3 linked regions of the Rhinolophus ferrumequinum genome follow. The protein of the gene in region 2 interacts with the protein of the main gene of each other region in a biochemical or structural test. Links are inferred from orthologs where the notes say so. Each region holds a gene or a part of one and is shown on either strand. Other genes may lie near its edges. The genes, in order: DNM2, SH3GL2 and DNM1.

Evidence for each region.
Region 1: the proteins of SH3GL2 (region 2) and DNM2 interact in a biophysical measurement, tested with the Homo sapiens proteins (2 studies listed by BioGRID and IntAct, with this or other methods). The link is inferred for Rhinolophus ferrumequinum from reciprocal best matches to the Homo sapiens genes SH3GL2 and DNM2.
Region 3: the proteins of SH3GL2 (region 2) and DNM1 form a complex in vitro, tested with the Homo sapiens proteins (2 studies listed by BioGRID and IntAct, with this or other methods). The link is inferred for Rhinolophus ferrumequinum from reciprocal best matches to the Homo sapiens genes SH3GL2 and DNM1.

The regions. Positions count from the first base shown.
Region 1 is NC_046301.1:39,642,710-39,650,052, forward strand, and holds the start of DNM2 (dynamin-2), read right to left. Parts: upstream 3,029-7,343; 5' UTR 2,882-3,028; coding exon 2,721-2,881; intron 1-2,720. Other genes in the region: QTRT1 (queuine tRNA-ribosyltransferase catalytic subunit 1), read right to left, coding at 5,329-5,481, 5,568-5,655, 5,772-5,881, 5,993-6,068, 6,311-6,449, 7,154-7,269. UniProt on the Homo sapiens protein: Catalyzes the hydrolysis of GTP and utilizes this energy to mediate vesicle scission at plasma membrane during endocytosis and filament remodeling at many actin structures during organization of the actin cytoskeleton.
Region 2 is NC_046295.1:21,619,984-21,627,125, forward strand, and holds the start of SH3GL2 (endophilin-A1), read right to left. Parts: upstream 3,050-7,142; 5' UTR 2,883-3,049; coding exon 2,838-2,882; intron 1-2,837. UniProt on the Homo sapiens protein: Implicated in synaptic vesicle endocytosis. May recruit other proteins to membranes with high curvature. Required for BDNF-dependent dendrite outgrowth.
Region 3 is NC_046295.1:77,124,878-77,131,785, reverse strand, and holds the start of DNM1 (dynamin-1), read right to left. Parts: upstream 3,041-6,908; 5' UTR 2,913-3,040; coding exon 2,752-2,912; intron 2,198-2,751; exon of another isoform or gene 2,124-2,197; intron 1-2,123. UniProt on the Homo sapiens protein: Catalyzes the hydrolysis of GTP and utilizes this energy to mediate vesicle scission and participates in many forms of endocytosis, such as clathrin-mediated endocytosis or synaptic vesicle endocytosis as well as rapid endocytosis (RE).

The sequences.
Region 1 (7,343 bases), on a different chromosome or scaffold from region 2:
AAATGAAAGACCCAGACTTAGCCCCCGGGGGCCACTGATATGCAACCCCCATACAGGGCTAAGTTAACTGGGTCATTCCCACTCCAACCACATTCTTAGAAAATCCACAAGGAGGAGGCACTGAAATGGAGCAACGTGTGCTGACCCCCAGGCACATACCTTGGACCCTCTCTTGTCTGTTCCTCGAAATCAGTGGGACATCCACTGTACTGGTCCACGATGAGAAGAACAAAACAACAGTTTGACCAAATGCCCAGAAAGAAGTAGGGAGTGCAATTCAAAGTGAAGTCCATCTGCCATCCCCTTGGATCAGGGCTTTGTAGCTGAGGGGCCTTCCCCACATTCCAGAAATAAAAAGAAATTAGTTCTGTCAGAACACACCTACCCAAAGAGAGGCCTTTTGACAACTTTGGTTCTCAGGCCCCAAATTAATGCTCTTAATGAAGGATGTCGCATTGCGGGTTTAGGGGAGGAGGTTGCTACAGAAGCCAGCTCAGTAGGAGCTGGCAGTCACCAGACGCCAGCGTGGATGGGAGAGAAAGGCAAGGGGCAGAGGGACAGAAGAAAGGTGGAGAGAGGAGAAAGACTCTCCCCCTCAAAGCCCCCAATTCCTCACTTAACAGCCTCAAATAAAAGTGCTCAGCTCTCTAAGCCTCAGCTTCCTGGTCTGTGAAATGGGATCATAGCAGTACCACCCTCATAAGGCTTAAATGAAGTCCAGTGTGAAACTTGAGACCACTTTAACTTTGATTAGCTTTTGTTGTCAATATGAGAGGAACCAGCACAGTGAATAATGGCCATATAGACCTACTGTGTGCCAGGTACTATGCTAAATAAGCACTTTCAACATACTATGTCACTGCATCCCTGCAACAGTCTTGAGGGACCATCACCCCATTTTTAGGAGGGGGAAACAAGGCTCAAAGAGGTCAAAAACCTGTGCAAAGTCAAAGGCAACTAAAACGGACAAAGCTTTGCAGATGCCCACCAGAAGCCTGGGCAGGCAGGAAGACGGCCATGCAGAGAGGCCCACAACCCAGGCTGAGCTGACCCCAAACCCACACTTTCTGTCACAGTGGACAGAGGGCAAAGTGCCAGGAGACAAAGCAGCAAAGGAGGAAATTCATGCCACTGGGAACAAAACCCCAGGCCTCCGGGAAAGCAGAGACGGGGCCGCATGTTCAGCTGGGCTCCAAGTGAGCACCAGGCTGGTGGCCTTGGGCAAATGGCCGGGCCTTTCTGAGCCTCCCTGCTCATCTCTAAGGTGGGGATAACAACCTCCACCCTACTTGCTCATCAAGGAACTCAAGACTCTGAACCAAGAAAGAACTCAGCCTGGTTGCCTAGTGGATTAACATTACTCCTTCACACTGATAACAGGAACAGTAATCATGACAATGACTATGACATTATCATTTGACAGCCAGTCACAAATGGAGTCCTTCCCAGAATAGAAACGTGGCCGCCCATCTGGGAAGCAGAAGGGCAAGAGGCAGAAGAAGGGAGAGGGGAGAATCAACCGACCTCATTGGCCACAGGACCGCTTCTCTATATTAGCTTCCTGAATCCCCGAAATAACACAGAGAGTGAAATCTGTCCACTGAACAGATGGGCAAACTGAGGCTTCTCAGGGCTGCCCTGGGAAGACCTTATCCCAGCTCTTAAGATGGAGGCCTGATCAGACAAGAAGTCCCTTCCCAGGCTCCAAGAGGGCCCCCAATTGGCAGGCTTTAGCTTGGTGTCTGGCCCCTGTGTTCCGGGGTCCTGAAACACCCTGTCATTGGCCAGGAAAGAATCCCGGAGAAAATTCGCCCCCAACTCCTAATTCCAACTGACAAGGGAGTAGTTCAAGTCTCATCCTTCAGCTCCCTTCTCTTCTCTAAATTCCTATCACCCCCTACCACAGAGGGTGGGCCAGACAGGGGCTGTTAAGGGCACTGATGGGCAGACTAGAAGGACAGACACTAGGAGAGAGGAACTAAAAGATCCACTTGGAAGAGAGGAGCCAGTGTTTGCCAGAGACCAAACTGAAGAGTGAGGCCAGGCTCCAGGGTTGTCTGAAGAGTCCAGACAACAGGCTCCCCTAGGTCCAGACAGCCAGTCAGATAGCAGAGGCCAACTGGGGTAACCCAACAGAAGGATGGCTAAGTGTTAAAGTCTTTGAGGGGCACGGATGGGCGGCCAGACTACACAGGTCATCCTGGACAGCGAGCCAGACAGCAGGGGGCTGCCCTGCAGAACTGGACAGATGGACAACCAAATGGTGGTAGCAGGCAGGCCTATCCAGGACAGAGACACAGCTAACCAGACAGCAGGGACTGCTCCAGATAAATGAACAGCCAGCCAGACCGCAGGGGTCGGCCCAAAACATATCTAGGTTTTGGACAGAGAAGAGAGACCTATCCCTGACCCACAGGCAACCAGATGGTAGAATTCACCCACTAAAAGTGGGGACCAGAGTCGGCAGCGGTCCACCGCAGCTCCTGGCCCACCCCCCGACCCCCAGCCGGTTAGACCCGCCTTGGGCCTGCGCCGACTCCCCAGCCTTCGCAGGGAGCCCTACACTCAGGGCGTCCAACAGGACCCGCCTCCCAGTCCCGGTCCCCACCGCAGGCACGCAAGCGCCGCAGTTACGCCGGCGGCGCAGGGCGCGCCATTCCCGGTCCGCCCTCCGCGCCCTAGGCCGCCGCCCGCCCGCGGTCGCCGCCGCGCTCGCTCACCGGCCCACGAAGTTCTCCAGCACCGAGCTCTTGCCGGCGCTCTGGCCGCCCACCACGGCGATCTGCGGAAGGTCCAGGTGGCAGCTCTGGCCGATGGAGCTAAAGGCATCCTGCAGCTTGTTGACCAGCGGGATCAGCTCTTCCATCCCGCGGTTGCCCATGGCGCCGGCAGCCCCTGCCCGAGCGCCCAGCGCTCCCCGCCCGCCCCCGGCCCTCAACGACACGGCCCCGCGGCGTCCGCGGCCGTTGCTCCCTGCCCGCCCGGGCCTCGGCGCGACGCCCGGTCCGGCTCGGCCTCACGGTCGCCACTTCATCCGGTTCTCAGGCGACACCCGACCCGAGCGACCTCCCGCCAGGGCCTCGGGGCTGCGCCCAAAGCCCGCGCGCCACGCTCAATTGGCCGGCCAAGCTGCCACTTGTGAGCGCGAACCAATGAAAGTGAGGCACGGACTTAAGGCTGAGTGAGCCTTCCCCATTGGGACCGCCTCGCGGGCTCATTGGATGTTAGAACTGTCGCTGTTATGCGAAAGCCAATAGAGGCGGGTACCGAGATGTCAAGGCTGGTAGGTGGTGTTTCGGGAAAAGGCATGTTGGCTCCGCCTGCTAGAGGGAGGCATGAAAATCCGCCAGTTTTATTGGCAAGAAGATCCTCCAGTCAACAACGCTGGCCAATGATGTTAGGGATCGATCCTTTAGACCTGCGTTTGTCATTTGACGCTACCTAGTTCTCTAAAAATTTCCCATTGGTTTATAAAAATATCACTCCATTCCATTAGCCAACAAACCGAAAGAGGGCGGACTTTAACCTCCGAATCTTAACTCTGATTGAGAACTGTACCTGTCAATCAACAATATCCCGTTCTTACTCGTATTCTGTATGTCTATTAAGTTTTCTGGAGCAGAGGGTAAGGCCCATCGAAACCTCTGAAGGGCGACACTTATTGGTGGAAATCGGTGGTGATCAGCACTTGTTGAGTTGCCAGGCTCTAAATAAAACTACAAGTCCCAGAATACATCTCGGCCCGGGGCTTGCAAACCACCTCTCTGCGCGGGGTTCCAGGGCGCTTCGAAGGTGGGAGTTCAGCGATACTAAGGATCCTAAGAAGAGGCAGTCTAGCTCTGTATTGTCGTCTCCCACTCTCATTCCTATATAAAGTCACACCTCCACGCCTATGCGAATGCTGTATCCTCTCCTCGGATTACCTTCCGCTCACACCCAGTCTAGATGAGACTAAGGCATCCAACGTTGTTCCCCGGCCCCAACTTCGGCGCGTCATGATCTTTTTGAGTACCCATTGAAACTCAGCGGATCTTCTGTCTATGAAAAGACACGTTAAGAAGTGATTTGATCCTCCTGGGCATAGATGGATCAGAGAGAAACTGAGGAGGTCGGAGAATGCAGAAGAGCCCAGTAGGGAGTCAGGAGCTATGGAGGTGGGAAAATGGGCTGATTCGGAGAAACTGTGGAGAGGAGGATGGCAGAGCGGCCTATAGTATATGACTGCTTCAAGCGGCCTGTAGTATATGACTGCTTCAAGACCCAAACTTCAGGTCTCAGAGAGATGGGCAAAAGGAGACCAACAAGATTTGGCATTGCAGCCTTGACTAGAATAGCAGAATAACCTGGAAACACTCTTAACTGCCCATCCATGGAGCTAGTTAAATAAATACTATGCAGCAGCTATAAATAAGATGAGGAACTCCTCATGTACTGACATGTAAACAATTTGAAAAATACTAAGGGGGAAAAAAAGCAAGGTAAAGAACTGTGTGTAAAGGATACCAACATTCATGAAAATATGTACACATGGAAAATTTCTGGAAGAATACACAAACTGATCAAAATAGTTGCATTTTTATGTTATTTGAATGGTGGATCCTACGTATTACTTTTTCAATTTAAAAACCCTTATCTTCTAAAAGCACCAACTCTGTAATTGGCCATATCTGGGTTACATCCTGGGCCTGTTTATTTGCTGGGTGATAAAGACCAAGTGACTTGATTCCCATAAACCTGTTTCTTCATCTGTAAAATGAGGAACATAGCTATTCATGCAACATAAAGTTGCAAAAATACAATACACATAACAACCATTTAGAACAAGGTCAGGCATCGTGTAAGCATTTGCTAGATCACACCTATTGTCATTATCACTGTGTTTTCTGACAACAAGATGAAGCCACATGTTGGGAGAGACAAGGCTAAGGGCATGAGCTCTGGAGCCAGGCTGCTACTTCCTCAATGGTGACCTTGGGCAAGCTACTTCCCCTCCCTGGGCCTGTTTGCTCACCTGTAAAAAGTGGGAGGACAAGTGCCCACCCCTAGAGTGGCTGGGGGGCCTAAGCCATGGGCAAAGGAATGCAGCTCTCACTCTGGGCCACTTCCTTCATACTGGGCTGTGCCAAGTGGTTGCCAGATACCAGCTGTTACTATGGTTATTAGTTACTATCAAAGGGAAGCAAGGGACATCAGACGTGATGACACTCAGACCAGGAATGGGACCAATACAGGCCACCGCCCCAAGAAGGCACAGACACACTCTGAGTTACAATAAAAAACCAAATCCTTCAATATCTTCCAGCCCCTCCCCCTGGCCCCCAAGCCGGGTCAGCTCAGAGTGATTCCCACAGAGGCCAGGGCTTCAGTGGCCCAGGTGGGACAGAGGGTGGGGTCCCCATACATGGTGCCCATGAAGTCCCGCACGAAGTCGGGAAAGCGTTTCTCCACGATGCTGGCGCGCACCGCTCCCATCAGCCGCAACTATGGGGTGGAGGTGTCAGTGTCAGCCGCCTGCCCTGAAGACCCCGCCCCCACCCCTGCCTTGCCCACCCAAGCCACAGGCCCACCTGGTAGGCGATGTTGTGAACAGTGAGGTGGTGCAGGGCGGCGGTGTTGTCGCTGTGGAGTAGTGCGTGCAGAAAGGCCCGGCTGTGCCTGGGGACAGGGGGTCAGGGCTCAGCAGTGTAGCATCCTGCCTCCTCCACAACTCCCCCCCCCCCCCCCCCCCCCCCCCCCCCCCCGCCCCGGCCCCAGATCCCATCCTCTCCTACTTCTGGCAGGTGGGACAGGAACACTCGGGGTCTATGGGGCGGAAGTCCTTCTGAAAATGCTTCTTCTTCAACTGCAGGTTGCCGGTGGGCACCAGGGCAGAGCCAAAGCGCTGGGGGAGGAGAGGGGGAAGGGAAGGCAGGTCAACCATGTTTTCACCCTGTCCCCCACACCCACTTTGGCACTCCCCCCAGGTTCCTGCCTCAACCGCCCAGAGCCTCACCGCTGTCCGCGTGGGGAAAACGCAGTCGAACATGTCGCATCCAAGAGCCACGCAGACCACCAGATCAGTGGCATAGCTGGGGGTGGGGCCATGGGGGGAGACGAGCACAGTACCTCAAGCCCTGGTCACACACCCAGGTCCTCCTCCCGACCCTCAGACTCCCCCTGGACTGAGACCCTCAGAACCACCCCCAGCAGAGGTCCATGTCGTCCTTAGTCCCCTCCCAGGCAGGTCTGTCTTTCCCCCCATACCACAGGGCAGGGGGTGCCCAGAAATCCACTTCCTAAAGGGGGGCTCTCTGCCCCCTTTTGGACATACCCAACCCCCATCAGGTATCGGGGCTTGTCCTTAGGCAACCTCGAAGTGCTCAGCGCCACCATCCTCCAGAACTGGCCCTTGCTCTCACCCCCACTCAGGCCCCCGATGGCGAAGCCCGGCACGTTCCTCTTGGTCATCTCTGCGGGTACAGGGCAAGGTGAGGGGTGGCCAGACAAAAGGAAACACTGCTCCTCTTCTTCCTCTTCCTCCCCCTCTGTGTCCCCATCTCTGCCTCTCCTTCATCTCCACAGCCTTGCTGTAGTCCTGTCACCCTTCCTCTGGGCACCCACTCCAGCCTCCTCACGGGCCTTGTGCTTCCTGTCCTACTGGGACTTTTCTATGGTTCCCCATTGGTTCCTATCACACTCCTACTCAACAGCCCTCCATGGTTCCCCAGGCCCTCAGTGTACCAATTAATGCTGTAGAGTCTAGAGCTCAAGGCCTGGGCCGAAATCCTAGCTCTGCAATATCCGAGCTGTCTGGCTTGGGGTGAGTGACAACAGCTCTATGCCTCAGTTTTCCCTTCTGTAACCTCAGGAACGTGGTAGCTCCCACCTTACAGGATGGTTATGAAAAATCAGTGGGTCAGAACTTAATCAGATCCATGATCAGAACTTGGCATAGTGTCTGGTAAACACCCCAAAATTGATGGCAATTGGAATTACTATTATTCTGCAAACATTCTACTCCATTCTGCCTCTGGGCCTTTGCTTCAGCTGTTCCTTCCGCTTGCAGTGCCGTTTCACCCATTAACAACCACTGTCTGAGCACCATCGCATGTCAGGCCTTTGTGGGGCCCCCAGCGATGTGACAAGCCCTGGTCCTGCCAGCACATGGCTCTACCTTCCAGGCAGGTGGCCCGGAGATCCGCATCTAGCCCACCCTGGATGATGGCGAAGAGATTTTGCTTGTCCGGCCGCCGATGGGCTGCAATGCAACGGTCCAGCCAGCGGATTGATCTGCAAAAGGACCAATTAGCAATTTGGACCTGGTGAAGGGGTAGGGAGACAAGGCTGGCGTGCGCGCGCACGCG
Region 2 (7,142 bases):
GATTTTTGCTATTTTAATATATTCTTAAGCTAGAAGGCTTTTCCACTCTAGTATTAGTATTTTATCAGGCAAAAGCTTTTCTTTCACTTCCAAACAGCTGAGCTATTGAAAACAGCTGTCAGCAACAAGGTAGAAATCATCAGTTCTAAACCAAAACAGTTGTGATACATATCAGAGATTTCAAATCAGTGGGCAAACACTAAAGTTATACTGCTTTATTGATACCAATATCATTCCTCACTAACATAAGCAAAAACTCAATTTCATAGAAACAGGAGAAATGCTTGTTTCTATGAAGAGAGGAAGAGAGGTCATCCACTTCGAAACATAGGCTACCTAATCCAGCATATCTATTCTCAAAAGGAAATAATTCTAGTTCTACAGCTTCCTCTGCAGATAAGATCAGGTTCGTGCGCTACATGGGGGAAATGGATTAAAAAGTGAACTATGGCTGTGTCCCCTAATGTCTGTGTCACATGCAAATATTAGTACTGGCTTTACACGCCCTTCGAAATACACATACATGCACAGGAAGAATAACCTTTGCCCTGGGCTTCCTAAGACTGTGCAATACTAAGCAATGAATAAGAGATTGTGCGTTGTCTCACCTTTAAAATGAAAGGCTTTTCAGTAAAAAGAAGAAAATGATGCAGTGATTCTGCATCTAAATTCAGTGTGATAAGTACTGATCTTATCACAAGCAGGCCTCCTCCAATGATCTAAGAAGTTATTTCACATCACAATTCCAATTCTGTATTCAGAATATTAAGAGCTACATATAATTTCAAGATTAACCTGACATGGAGCCTTCTGATTATTTCTGTTAAGTAGCAAAGCTAAAAATTCTATAATTTCCTCATGTCTCATTACCAATGGAAGGCACAGTATTTTATCCTAATAAAATTATCCTTAATGTTAATAGCATTTATTGCACACTTTCTGTATGTGTTCTACAAACTCATTTATGTTCACATCAACTCTAAGAAATAGGTAATTACATCATTTTATAAAGGACAGACTCAGAAGTTAAATAACTTGCTCAAGGTCACAGACAGCAGATGAGGGGTCAAGCCTTAGTCTTTCCTACTCTAAAGCCAAGGTTCCTAACTGCCATTTAGGACAACACTAATCTCCAAAGAAAGTCCTGAGAATCAGCGTGAAGAAAGGATGTGGTACTGGTAAATTCAACGCGGTGGTCTGTTTTACAGGAATGACAAGTACCCGAAATAAAAATGGTTTGTGACATCAAAGAAGTCCTGCCTGAGAATTTATGGGCAGCGCATACGCTGGTTCTCTGAAGGAATTTGGGTATAAAGTTATGAGAGACCTTCCAAATTACACCAACAATACATTTATATTTACAACATTTCTGGCAGAGAGGTTTCAGAAAGATCCAATTTGAAAAGCAAAGATGATTGCATTGACGGGCATTTTTTACTGCAACTGTCTTAATTTCTTCTATTTCCTAAATCGACAGAAATAACTGGTTCTATAAAGGCAAGTCTGTGGTGACAGAGATAGCACGTGGGTGCACAGATGAATTTCATGCTGCATCTGTCACCGTAACTTAACCAAGATTCTGTAAAACACAACCCTTACCTTCCTGGATGTGGTTTATAATAGGACTGTTACTGTAGTAGCCTGGGGAAAACCTCACTACTTCTGAGGAATTATGAGAAAGCTCAATATTAAGGCTAACCTATGAAAAAAAATACTTAAGACTAAATTATGAGAAACATTTAAAGAAATCAACAAAGCCCTTAGGCTAAAGATCCCTTAAACTCAAACTGTTTCAGAAGAATAAAAAAAAAATAGTAACCATATTCATTATATAAGAAATAGGTCACATTATAAGTATTATTTCCCTATATAAAACTCTTCAACCAAGCCCAATGAGATTTAAATTATTAGAATCTGAATTAATAAATTTTATTTTAATCACAGCTTATTAACCCCATAGAGAAAGATAGCCATATCCAAAATGTGAAAAGCTCACTAAAAATAAAATTTTAAAGATTTTAAAAATTAGTTATGTTAAGGCTGCAACATCCTTTGGGAAATTTTTTTTTAAGTTTACTGGGGTGACAATTGTTAGTAAAGTTATATAGATTTCAGGTGTATAATTCTGTAATACATCATCTATATATATGTGGTGATGGAAAGAAAACTGACTGTGTGGTGAACACACAATGTGATATATATGGACATTTTTTAAGACATGCAGACTGCTGGTCAACCTTCTACCTCAAAGCGATTTGACGACCGACTTCCCTAAGGAAAAGTTAATGCCTGAGCTTTCCAGAGGAAGCCCCATCTGCCCATTCCTCTGAGCCTGTAGAGGACCAAGGAAGTAGGGTTTCAGAGATCACAGGGGAGAAGCCCAAACCGCGGACATCTCCGCAGCCTCCTCCAGTGCGGGCCACCGCTCGTGCCAGCACATCCCGGGACAGCCCGGCGCACCGACACCGCAAGGTCACGGGGGAAAGAGGCGACTTTACATAATCTCCTGCCGCGCCGCCCCGACACCTGCAAGCCCGGGTCTCCTCCCGGTAGCGGCTGCGCTGGGAGGTGCGGAGGCGGCGCGCGGGGAGCCTAGGTGGGACGCCGGGGACCCGCGGGCGCCCGCCAAGCCGCACTGAGCCGGGGGTGGGAAACCGATGGGCGGGTTTCCAGCGCGGGGATGCCGAGGCGGGCGGAGCGGGCGCTGCGGGGCGCGGCCGGGGCGGGCTCGGCGCAGGCAAGGGTCCCCACGCTCCCGGGCAGCTGCAAGCGCGGAGTGCGAGCCCCTCGCAGCTCCGCCCGGGACCGCCCCGCGCCGCACCTGTCACGCGCCTTACCTGAGTGGCTTTATGGAATTGCTTCTTGAGTCCGGCCACCGACATGGTGCGGGAGGACGCGCGGAGGCGGGCGACTGCTGGTGCTAGAAGGCAGCGGCAGCAGAGCGGGACGGGAGGGCCAAGCCGGGCGGCGCGCTCGTCGTGCCGCCGCCGGGGCTGTGGGCGCGGGGGCGCGGAGCGGCGCGGGACGCGGGCTGGTGCGGAGAGACACCCTGACGTCAGGGGCGGGTGATGCGGCCTCTTAAAGGGGACGCGGGAAGCCCCGCCCCGGGCGTTGGGCCGCAGGCAGGTGCCTTGGCACCCGCTACCTGGGCACGGGCGTCGGACGAGCGGATCTGGCTCCACGGCTCCCACGGGCGCCAGTTAAGGAGGAGGGCCAAGGGCGTTCTCCTGCCCCGGGAGTGTCGTGCGTACCCCAACAGGCTGAGGACGGGACCCTGCAGCTTGGTAGCCCAGGCACTGGGCACGACTCAGGTGACTTGCTTGGCTTCCAGGTAGCTGGGGCGGCGTTGCCTGCCCTTTGACCCTGCCCTCTCTGCAGCCTAGAAAGAAGGAGTGGCGTTCTATCTGGGGTAATGAATAAGTCATTGCTCTTTCTGTGACATGCCCCGTTTGACTGGTTACAGAAAACATTTCTTTGCCATCGTTTCAATATCCTTTAAACCTACATAACGTTAGGAAATACCACCACCGACTCCCTTTCTTTTTGTGTGTGTGTTTTTTGCATGTTTGGTCTGATACAACTTAACGACTTAAAAATAACAAAAAATTTTAAAAACCTTAAAGTTGGGGGATAAATAAAATTGAAGTGGGCTATTACTGTAGTAATAGTATTTAATCCTGGTTACAGATATGGAAGAGATCGAATATAAACTTGGCTTTCACTTATGATAGTAGATTTCAGATTTTCAATCTAAAATAAGCATTATATAATGTGAAAAAGCATGATGATACTAAGCTGTACAAATACTACATATGTAACAAAGTATCTATGGCTAGGCTAAAGGGAAACTTTGGTAGAATTCAAATAGTTAGTAGCAGAGCAGCACTACCTGTTTTCTATGTTCTGGTAATTCGCCACTTCTTCTGGTTTTTCTAGGACTGAGGAGCACATAGGGAAGAACTTGAATGCTGTCCCCAGGTAGGAACCAAAGTTATAAGGGGGAGAAGTCAGAGTGACAGAAGCCAAGATGAAAGACATTGCCAAGGATAAATAAGAAAACAGCATGGCAGAAGGAGTACTAGGAATACCTTGCCTCCACAACCCCTGCTGCCTGCAAGGAACCATAGACCCCACCTCCACCCTTCTAGCCAAGCTGCTTGGTCACAGGGTAAACAGGTGATACAACGGGGTCCTGACCATCGGCTGAGCTACCAGTCATAGTCCTTGATAATGTGGACTCAAACACCTAAAAGAAGAGTCGAGCAGATAGTGGTAGATAACAGAGAAGTAAGAGCACACAGACTTGTGACCCAGTCTCCAGAGAGAATCAGACAAAAGCAGCAAATGTCCAATGTGGTTGTCATTACTGATGTCCATGTACCTTCCAGATACATACATGGTAGAACTGCATTTTCCACATATTTTATGGTTAAATGGAGGCACTGTGACAAGCTTTCATTAGTGAATTAGGAAGAAAAGTGACTGTCACTTCTTGGCATAGAGTTTAATTGTTGGGATGAGATGCTACAAAGCTCTCTTTTCACTCTGCAACAATATTCTAAATAGTTGTGGTCTGTCAAACAGAATCCACTGTGAAAAGGAAGTAGAGCAAAGTCCCCAGTTGATGTCCAAGAGATGTTCAGTATGAGTGAGACATAAACCTGAGTAATTTTAATCCACAGAGTCTGGAGTTGTTACTGTGGCAGAACTGGCCCACCTGACTGATGCATAGACAGAACATGCTTTCCCATTGCCCGAAAGATGAAGGAACATTTTCCAGTTCTTGCCATTGCCCACTTGTATTTTACTTTTTGTCATCAGATGTCCATGAAGTAAGTTGTCCATTTTATTCTTACAAAAAGCATCAGTGAAGTGTGAGGAGGTGTCTTCTCTTTTTTTTGCAGTCTCACTGAAGCAGTGGGCAGACTCGCCCCTTGGCCTGAGGGTCAGAGGGAATGGTGACTCCATGCCCCGACCCTCTTACCCTGCATTTTCCTTAGCAGCTAGGGAGGGGGAAGTGTGAGCTCTTCCATTCTAAAGGCATGTCGGGCAAGGGGCAATCAGTGTCTCAGAAAAGCATTTGACAGGGAAAGATGACAGTCCTGCCTATAGATAGGTGGGGCTACTGACTCATCAAAGTCTAGGACAAACCATTAAAGTGACCTGACTGAGGACCCATGAGGTGGTATGCCCAGGGCGACTTACACCTGTGGTGATCATCATGGTGATTCCCAGGTTCCTGACCTTAGGAAACTGCAAGACTTTGGACTTAATGCATGAGTAGGTGGAGCTCTAGGTGGGAAGATTTGGGGGTTAGTGTCACAATGACTGCTTTTGTACTCTAACAGTTTGGTGAAGCCAGCGTATGCCTACACACAACACACACACGAAAAGACCGTAAAATGGTAATAATAGTCATGCTGCTGGAGCAGTTCTCAAACTTCAGGGTGCCTCAGAATCCCTTGCAGGACTTTTAAAGCACGAATTGCTGAGCCACATCCCTAGTTTCTGATTCACTAGGTCTGGGTGGGGGCCAAGACTGTGCATTTCTGACAAGTCCCCAGGCGATGCTAACGCTCTGGTCTGGGGACCACACTTTGAAAACCAGCGGATCTTAGTAGAGCTTTTAGGACTGAACTTTTTTTTTTCTATTCTCTCAATTTTTAAAATGTTTTCCCATTAATTGTATAATAGAAAAGTTTTTTTTATAGTTAATTTTTCCTAACTGGTCTCTGATCTGAAAAACGGGACATTTTCATAGACGTATGGGCCTTGATTGAAACTGCGAAGAGAGAGAGCAACTAATGTACAAAGTGGGAGGGCCTGGGATTCCTGAGCGCTGCTCCCTAACTGTGAAAGGTGTGAAATGAGGACCGAGAGTCTCCTTGGGACTTTGAATACTTAACCCTAAATCAAACAAAAGCAAGTCTCTATCTTTTCTTGGTTCTTCATCCACCAACTTAGAAGGCTCATCCTGCTATACATCAAAGAAAGTACCTTGGGAGGAAGAACGATCTGAGGAATTTTAAATCCTTTTGAAACCATGGTTAATTCTCCCAGGTATCCTCTGGGTCTCATGTAAATCCTGCATTTCTGCTGAAGCCATAGTTTACACCTATAAAGATATTTTAGATGTTACCCTTGAAAGAGATTTGTTGAGTTCCTCCTACTAGCGGGAATCATGGTAGAAGGTTTGGAGGTGGTCAGGTGAGATGCCAAGACAAGTATGGACTGGACCTTGAACCCCAAGGGGTTTCCAGGCCAGTAATTCAGAAAATGCTTCCTGTAGACAGTTACTGTGACTTGAATACAGACGGATGAATGCACTAGACTGAAAATTTTTCAAACATGAGTGCCCTCTTTGGTTGCACAGAAGCTGTGACAGAGGCTCTATGGAGAATTGCGGCAGCACAATATAGGGAAAGAGGGACCTAAGGTCAGCGAGTCAGAACTTTGTTTCATAAGAGGTGGTTGCAATTCAACATGCTGCCCTCTCCTCTCTTGAGATCAAATCAATGTACAATGGTAAATAAACCTAGATCTGCTTTTAAAAGTTCCAATTAGATAAAACCCCTACACAGCACCACCTCACAGATCTGGCAGAAAGTTCATGGTCAGCAATAATTCCATCACATCGTTCATGCACTATTTCTCCTTGCATTATAAGAAAGCTCTGGCAAATACCAGACTTTTAGTTTGCACAGAACCACTGCATCCCTGGCACCTTTCAGAGGACTTCTCCAAGGACACAGACAACAAGCAGCAGCTCTCATCTTTTTGCCCTTCAGCCCCTGACACCTCTCCTCTGGCCCACACCAGGGCAAACTACGCCTGACTTTATGTGTAAGCTCATTAAGTGCAAGAAACACAGCAAAGCAAAGGCATTAAATCCCAATTTTGTGTTTTACCGTTGAGAAACAGAAGCAATGAAAGGAAGTGTCTTATTCATTGTTATTTTTACTTCCACTGTTAGCCTCAATTCAGAGCAGAGTCTCCATTCTGTGTTAATGCACACAGATGGGAAGGCATGAATGAAAGATTGAACAATTTATCACTGTCACTGATGCCATATTCTTGCCACACTGGGTCTGATGTTTCAAAGCCTTCACCCACCATCCCTGTATGAAAGCATGGATTGTGCA
Region 3 (6,908 bases), about 56 Mb from region 2:
GCATAGATCAGACAAGTCCGAGCAGGGTCCTGGGCAGCTGCTGGCCACCTCCATTGCAGAGCTGAGAACAGGGTCCTCCTGGGAGCCCGGGAGCCCAGGCCGGCCTACAGCTGCCTCTACTTCCTCTGATGCATTTTTCCACTTCCTCTCCATGGGGGATTGACTCCTGGGAAGTCCCAGGAGGCTGAGCGGCTGTTACCATGCTCACCAGTCTGGGGACCCAGCCCTAGGTAGAGAGGTCAGGAGCCCATGAGGGAGCAGGCAGGGCTTGCTGGGGGCCCCACTGAACCTTGGTTTTTCACCTGCTCTACCCTGGGCCTGCATCTGGATACCTGGTGCAGCCTCTTCCAGGGCCACCGTCAAAGAGCATTAGGGTTCGGAGAGCAGCGCAAGGGCCCAGGCCTCCTGGGCCAGAGTCCACATCCTGCACCATCACTCGACAAAGAGTTGCTGAAGTCAGCTGTGGCCGGGCTGGCCTGCTGTGCTACCTACAGACTGACACCTCTCTCTCCTGGACAGTAAACTCCAAAAGGGCAGGCAGGGGTCAGGTCTGTCCTGGCACATGCAGGCCCCCAAACCTAACTATCAATACCCGCCCCCACGTGTTGACAAAAGGACTTTTACACCCATGGACTCATTGGAGCTCCACAGCCACCGTCTCAGGAAGGCAGGGCAGCAGCCATCATTGTTCCCATCCTACAGATGGGGAAAATGGAGGCCATACCATTCCATGTCCCTGTGCTCAGTACTGGGCTTGGCTCTCAGAGGCTGTGCAAGGTCGAGACTAGGAACCTGGGCTCTGGAGTCTAATAGGCACTGTCTATGTGACCTTGGGCGAGGCATCTAACCTCAAGGTCTAGTTTCCTCATCTAGGCACCATGGTACCTGCCTCATGGGGCTGTTGTGAACCATCTTGTGAAGCATGGTGTGGGCACATGGGAAGGGCACAGAAGATGGGAGCTAAGGTCGCCTTCCCCACCAGCACCTGCCCAGAGCACACAACCTGGCACAGAGCAGGAGTTCAGCAAACATTCAATGGATGAAAGGTAGGAATGTGGTTTGTACACTGTAAAGTGCTGGATATCTATGAGTGCCATTTAAAGGGTTAAGGCCTCCAGGGTCCCTCCACCCCCACCCTCACCCCCTCATTCTGACTGCTGGCCCATCTGTGTGTCTCTTGCCTGTGTCGCTGCAGTTCTGGGGGTCACGTGAGCAGGAGGGTTCTTTGGGAGCCTTCCCTCATCCTCCACAGACAGACGGTCTCCTCCTCTGCTGACCAGATGGGCCCAGCCGCCCCCACGATGGCTTTCCAACATCCCACAGATACATCACTTCAGTCAAGACCTTTCCCTCTCCCCACTACAGTTTGCACTGGGCTTCCCAGGTCATTGGAGGGGCAGAAATAATCATCCAGTCCAACTATCCATATTAGATGGGAAACTGAAGCTCAGAGAGGGCAAGTGACTGGCCAGAGGTTTCACAGCAAAACCTGATTTGGACCCAGGATGTCTCTCCCCAGAACTGCTGTTCCTCAGAGGGAGGGGCCTCTACCTTCCTCTCCCACATTGCCAGTGGCTTCCTTAGCCATGAAGGTCATTGGAAGAAAGCTAGGGTTTCTGAAGGTGAGGGAGAGAGACGACAGAGTGGAGAGGTCAGTGTCAATTCTCCGGCCTCCAACCTCAGTCTGCCCAGCCCCCATCCAGCCTCCAGCACCAGGAGAGCGCCATCCTCTCTCTCTCTCCTTCTCAGTACCCCAAAAAGCCATTTCTGCCTCCCCTATCTTGAGGGAACTTGGGGGGGTCACAACACTGCCTGTCCCTCTAAACCCAGGACCTTCTGTCTTTGTGGTTGCCCCCCACTCGCTGCCACCTGGCCCTTCCAGCGCCTTGTGGGATCAAAGGCAGAAGGAGGATTAGGTTCTGCAAATGGCTCCCCCCTCCCCGCCATCCTGCCTCCCTGTCTTAGTCATCTCTGCCCTCCACTGCCTTCTCCCTCCATTACAATCCCTCTGCCAGACCAAGGGGAGAACGACTTTGACAGACGTCCTCCACCCAGGGGCGGCGGCAGAATAAGGGGCCGGCTGCTCATAAAAGGATCAGAAGCAGTTTCTCCCCCACCCCCCTTCCCTTCCTCATCCTGCAGCCCGCGCCTCCCCCCACGGCCGCGCTGCGCACGGATGGCGGCGGGAGCCGCAGAGGTGTGTGTGTGAGAGGGGGTAGGCTGTGCCTGGTCCTTGATGCCCACAGAGCTATGTCCTCTACCAGGGGCTATGGGGGGTGTCCCCTACCACTGTCCAGGAATTCCCATGGGGGGAGGGAGCTGTCCTCCGTAGAGCCTAGGGGTAGGGGGCCCTGCCCCGGGGGTGTTGCCCCTCCAAGGTACTCCTGGAGGGAGTCGGAGGGAGCCACTGAGTAATTCAAGGCCCCTCGGTGCCCTTGTGAGGTATCGGGGGACAACCCTGTGTAAGGGTCTCCTGGCAGAGCGCTGTCTTCCCAAACGGATGGGGCGGAGGAGGGGGCGTGATACAGTAGCTGGTGGCCTGACGCCGCTCGTGGACAAGCGGGGGGCGCTGCCGCCTCTGAGGGGCTCTCGTGGAGGAGGAGGGCCACCTCCCTCTGGCTGGAGGTGGGGGGCGCACGGTCGCGGGTGCAGCGCCAGGGGCTGTGAGGTCGCGGCGCCGTCGGAGCCGGGGGCGGAGGCCCAGGGGACCCAGGTGTAGGGAGTGCGCGCTCCGGGGAGCGCCTCTCCTACCTGCCAACGAAATTCTCCAACACAGAGCTCTTGCCGGCGCTCTGGCCTCCCACCACGGCGATCTGCGGCAGGTCGAGGTCCGCGTTCTGGCCAATGGCGGAGAAGGCGTCCTGCAGCCGGTTGACCAGCGGGATGAGATCTTCCATGCCGCGGTTGCCCATGGCTGCGGCGGGCCCCGAGGGCTGCGATCTGGCCGCCGCTTCGGCTCCGGGCTCCGGCTCCGCCGCAGCAGCCGCGCGCTCCGACTGCCTGCGCCTCGGGCCCCCCGCCCCTCCAGGATTGGAGGGGAGCGTGTCCCGGACTGCCGCCAGAGGGCGCCCGCGGCGCTGCAGTCCGGCCGCCGTGCGCAGGCGCCGTCAGCGGCCCCATGGGGATTGCAGTTTTCTCTTTCTGCGGGTTTTGGGGAGCTTGAGCCAGCCGTGTGTGGGAATGTGGATAATGCGCCGAAGAGGTCATTCTGAAATGGGTGAGGGTCTCACCCCCTGGTACCGGGCCTCTTGGATAGTGGTCATGGCTGCCTCACTTCATCTTATAGATAGGGAAACTGAGGCTTGGCGAGAAAATGGCATCCTCCAAGGGCACAGTCTCCTGACCAGGAGTTCAATTTGGCCTCACTGCCTTTTACTCTTAAGTTCTCACACTAATTCATCTCCAGCATGTCCCTTTGGGCCTCACTTTCTCTGTTTCTAGAAGGAGAAATATAGAACATTAATTCAACAGATATTTACTGAGCACCTACTGTGTGGCGGGCCTGTCCTAGGCACTGGAGATACAGCAATGAACAACACAGACAAGGTGTCTCATAGATCTTACATCCAGGTGGCAGAGACAGACAGTCAATGATTGACTACACAGATCAATGAAATAGCAAAAGTGAAAAAAAGTTTATACTAAGAACAATGGAGGAAATAAACGGGTTGTGAAAAGAGGTAACTGTGTGGGTATGAAAAATCCACTTTAGCTTGGGAGGAGTCATGGGGATTCTCTGAGGAGGTGACATTTGAGAAGAGACCTAAATGATGAGAAGCCAGCCAGCCACAGCCAGATCAGGCCCTATCCTAGGAGCCTGGCCTGGGCCTTAGACAAGCTGTATCACCCAGGTCCCTCCACGTCTCTAAGCCTCAGTTATCTAATCTGGGTAATGGGGATAACGATAGATTAGAAATGCCTGTGAAGGGCATGGACCTGGCCTGGCGCTCAAGAGACTTTTACTACACCCTGCTTGCAGGATGCCGATGCTGACAGCCCTCGAGACAGTTGGAGCATCAGCCACCCACAACACCCCTCCTGAGCAGCTGCTTCAAGCCAGCCTGGTAACCATGTTTCCCCGAAAAAAAAGACCTAACCGGAAAATAAGCCCTAGCATGATTTTTCAGGATGACATCCCCTGAACACAAGCCCTAATGCATCTTTTGGAGCAAAAATTAATATAAGACCCTGTCTCATTTTCAGGGAAACACAGTTATTATGCTCTGAGAACCAGAGAGGAAGCCTGGAGTACAGTCATTAATTTGAGGAGGGGCTGCAGTTTGCAGATGTCTACCTAGAGGGGCACCGTCATGGCTGGGTTGTTTTTCCTAATTACGATAGTGAAACTTATTGTAAAAATCAGCCTTTACACAGTATTTGAAAACTTCTGGTCATCCTCCCACCCAGAGATAATCAGTCTTTATAACTTAGTGTTTATTCTCTGGCTTTTTGCATATGTATTCACTTTGTTTTCTTTTGTTTTTACAGAAGTGGAATCTTATACATCCTGTCCTGCTGAATCACTGATGCCAGACCAGCAGCCTGGGCATGACCTACTCAGAAATGCAGAATCTCAAGCCCCACTTATAACCTGCTGGATCACAACCTGAATTTCATAAGAACCAAGTGCCCCAGAAGATTCCTATGCACTTCAACGTTGGAGAAGCTCTGCAACTTGCTTTTTTAGTAACGGTATGTGTTTGACCTGTTTCAATGTAAGAACCAACAGATCGGTCATGGTTCTTGTTCACGGCTGCATAGTTTTCCAGTTTGGCAGTGCCCTGTTTTTGTTTCCTGGTCTGCTAAAAATGGATGTGCTAGGCTTGAAGAATGGATGAATAAAATGCCACTGTGGGATGTAGAGAAGGGTTGATGTTCTGGATAGAGGAACCAGTATAAGCGAAGGTATGGAATCAGAAAGGAAATGAACCTGAAATCTACCCTGGCCTCAGTTTCCCACAGATTTTGGTGAGGACTGAAGAAGTGCTACTGTAGAAGGTTCTCCCCAGGCACTGAGAAGCTGGGGGCTCTGAGGGCCAATAAATTAAATGAGTCTTAGAAATGGCTTTGACTCTCTCTTTTGAGCACCCAAGAGGGAGAATTCTCTCTGGACCTCCTGCAGCTTTAACCACTAACGGCTAGGCAGGTTTACAATAGGAACATTCACTGGGCATTTCCTCTCCACCAGGTTACTCTGCTGAGAGATTCAACCCTCAGGAGGGAGAAGTTTTTTTTTTTTTTTTTAGATTTTATTGGGGAGGGGAACAGGACTTTATTGGGAACAGTGTGTACTTCCAAGCCTGTTTTTCCAAGTCAAGTTGTTGTCCTTTCAATCTTAGTTGTGGAGGGTGCCGTTCAGCTTCAAGTTGTTCTTTCAGTCTTAGTTGTGGAGGGCGCAGCTCAACTCCAGGTCCAGTTGCCGTTTTCTAGTTGCAGGGGGCACAGCCCACCATCCCTTGCGGGCGACGAACCGGCAACCTTGTGGTTGAGAGGACGCACTCCAACCAACTGAGCCATCCAGGAGCTCAGCGGCAGCTCAGCTCAAAGTGCCGTGTTCAATCTTAGTTGCAGAGGGTGGAGCCCACCATCCCTTGCGGGACTCGAGGAATTGAACTGGCAACCTTGTGGTTGAGAGCCCACTGGCCCATGTGGGAATCAAACCGGCAGCCTTCGGAGTTAGGAGCATGGAGCTCCAACCGCCTGAGCCACCGGGCCGGCCCCGAGAAGTTTTTATTAGTTCCTTTTGACAGATGAGGAAACCGAGGCACAAAGGGGTTCATGAGGAATGAGTCTAAGGTCACAAAGCCAGGAAGTGATAGAGTGAAGATGTGAATGGAGGTCGTCAGACTCAGAGCTTCCACATTTCTATCCTACACTACACCAGCTCTTGTAACCTATATATATTTTAGTGCACATAAAACAGTAGCCCTTTCTGATAGGGTTTCTGTTGTGCATACAGTAGGTGCTCAGTAAATGCTGGTTATATTGAATTGAACAGTGGCCTTCTTATACAGCTCGTCGGTCAAGCCATTATATTTAGTCACAGGGTCTGATCAGGGTCTGGGCCCTTTGGGTTCATTTGTTCATTTATTCTTCAACAGGTTATTGATCAGTGACTACTTCATGCCAGACCTCAAGCAAGACATAGGGGGATGAAGAGGTTAATAAGATGTAGGACAGGTCCTTCTAGAATGGATTCACTGGGGAGAGAAAGACAAGCTAAGCAGACCAGGTGCATAGGGCAATGGCACCTGGCCCAGTCTGGGGCAAGGTCACTGCTGAGGGAGCAGCTGAGCCAGGCTGGGCCACATCCCCTCCTCTGCATGGCTGGGGACTGGGCACCAAGATTTCCCAGGGGCTTTTGGGCACTGATGGTCCAAGCATCTGTGCTTGCAGCATCCCATCTTATAGTGAGGTGCTCCCCATGAGCCTGGAATAAGGCAGGTACCCTTGTGTGCTGATGGTTAGGTACATATGATTCAACGGCACAGCTGGAAAGCTGGCCTGGCTGGTGTTCAAATCCCACCTCTGCCGCTTTCTAACCTGATGACTTTAGGCAAGTCGCTTCACCTCCCTGACCCTCAGTTTCTTCAGTAAAAAGGGGATAATAATATTACCTAACTCTTACATACAATGGAATATTACTCAGCCATAAACAAGAAGGAAATCTTACCATTTGTGACAACATGGATGGACCTAGAGGGTATTATGCTAAGGGAAATAAGTCAGACTGAGAAAGACAAATATCGTGTGATCTCACTTATATGTAGAATCTAAAGAAAAGAAACAAAGAAACAAAACAGAAAAAGAAAATGCTACCTAACTCATAGAGCTGTGCAAGGAGGGTTTTGTGATGTCATAATAATTCAGGTAGAACATGAAAATGGTGCATGGTACAGTGAATAATT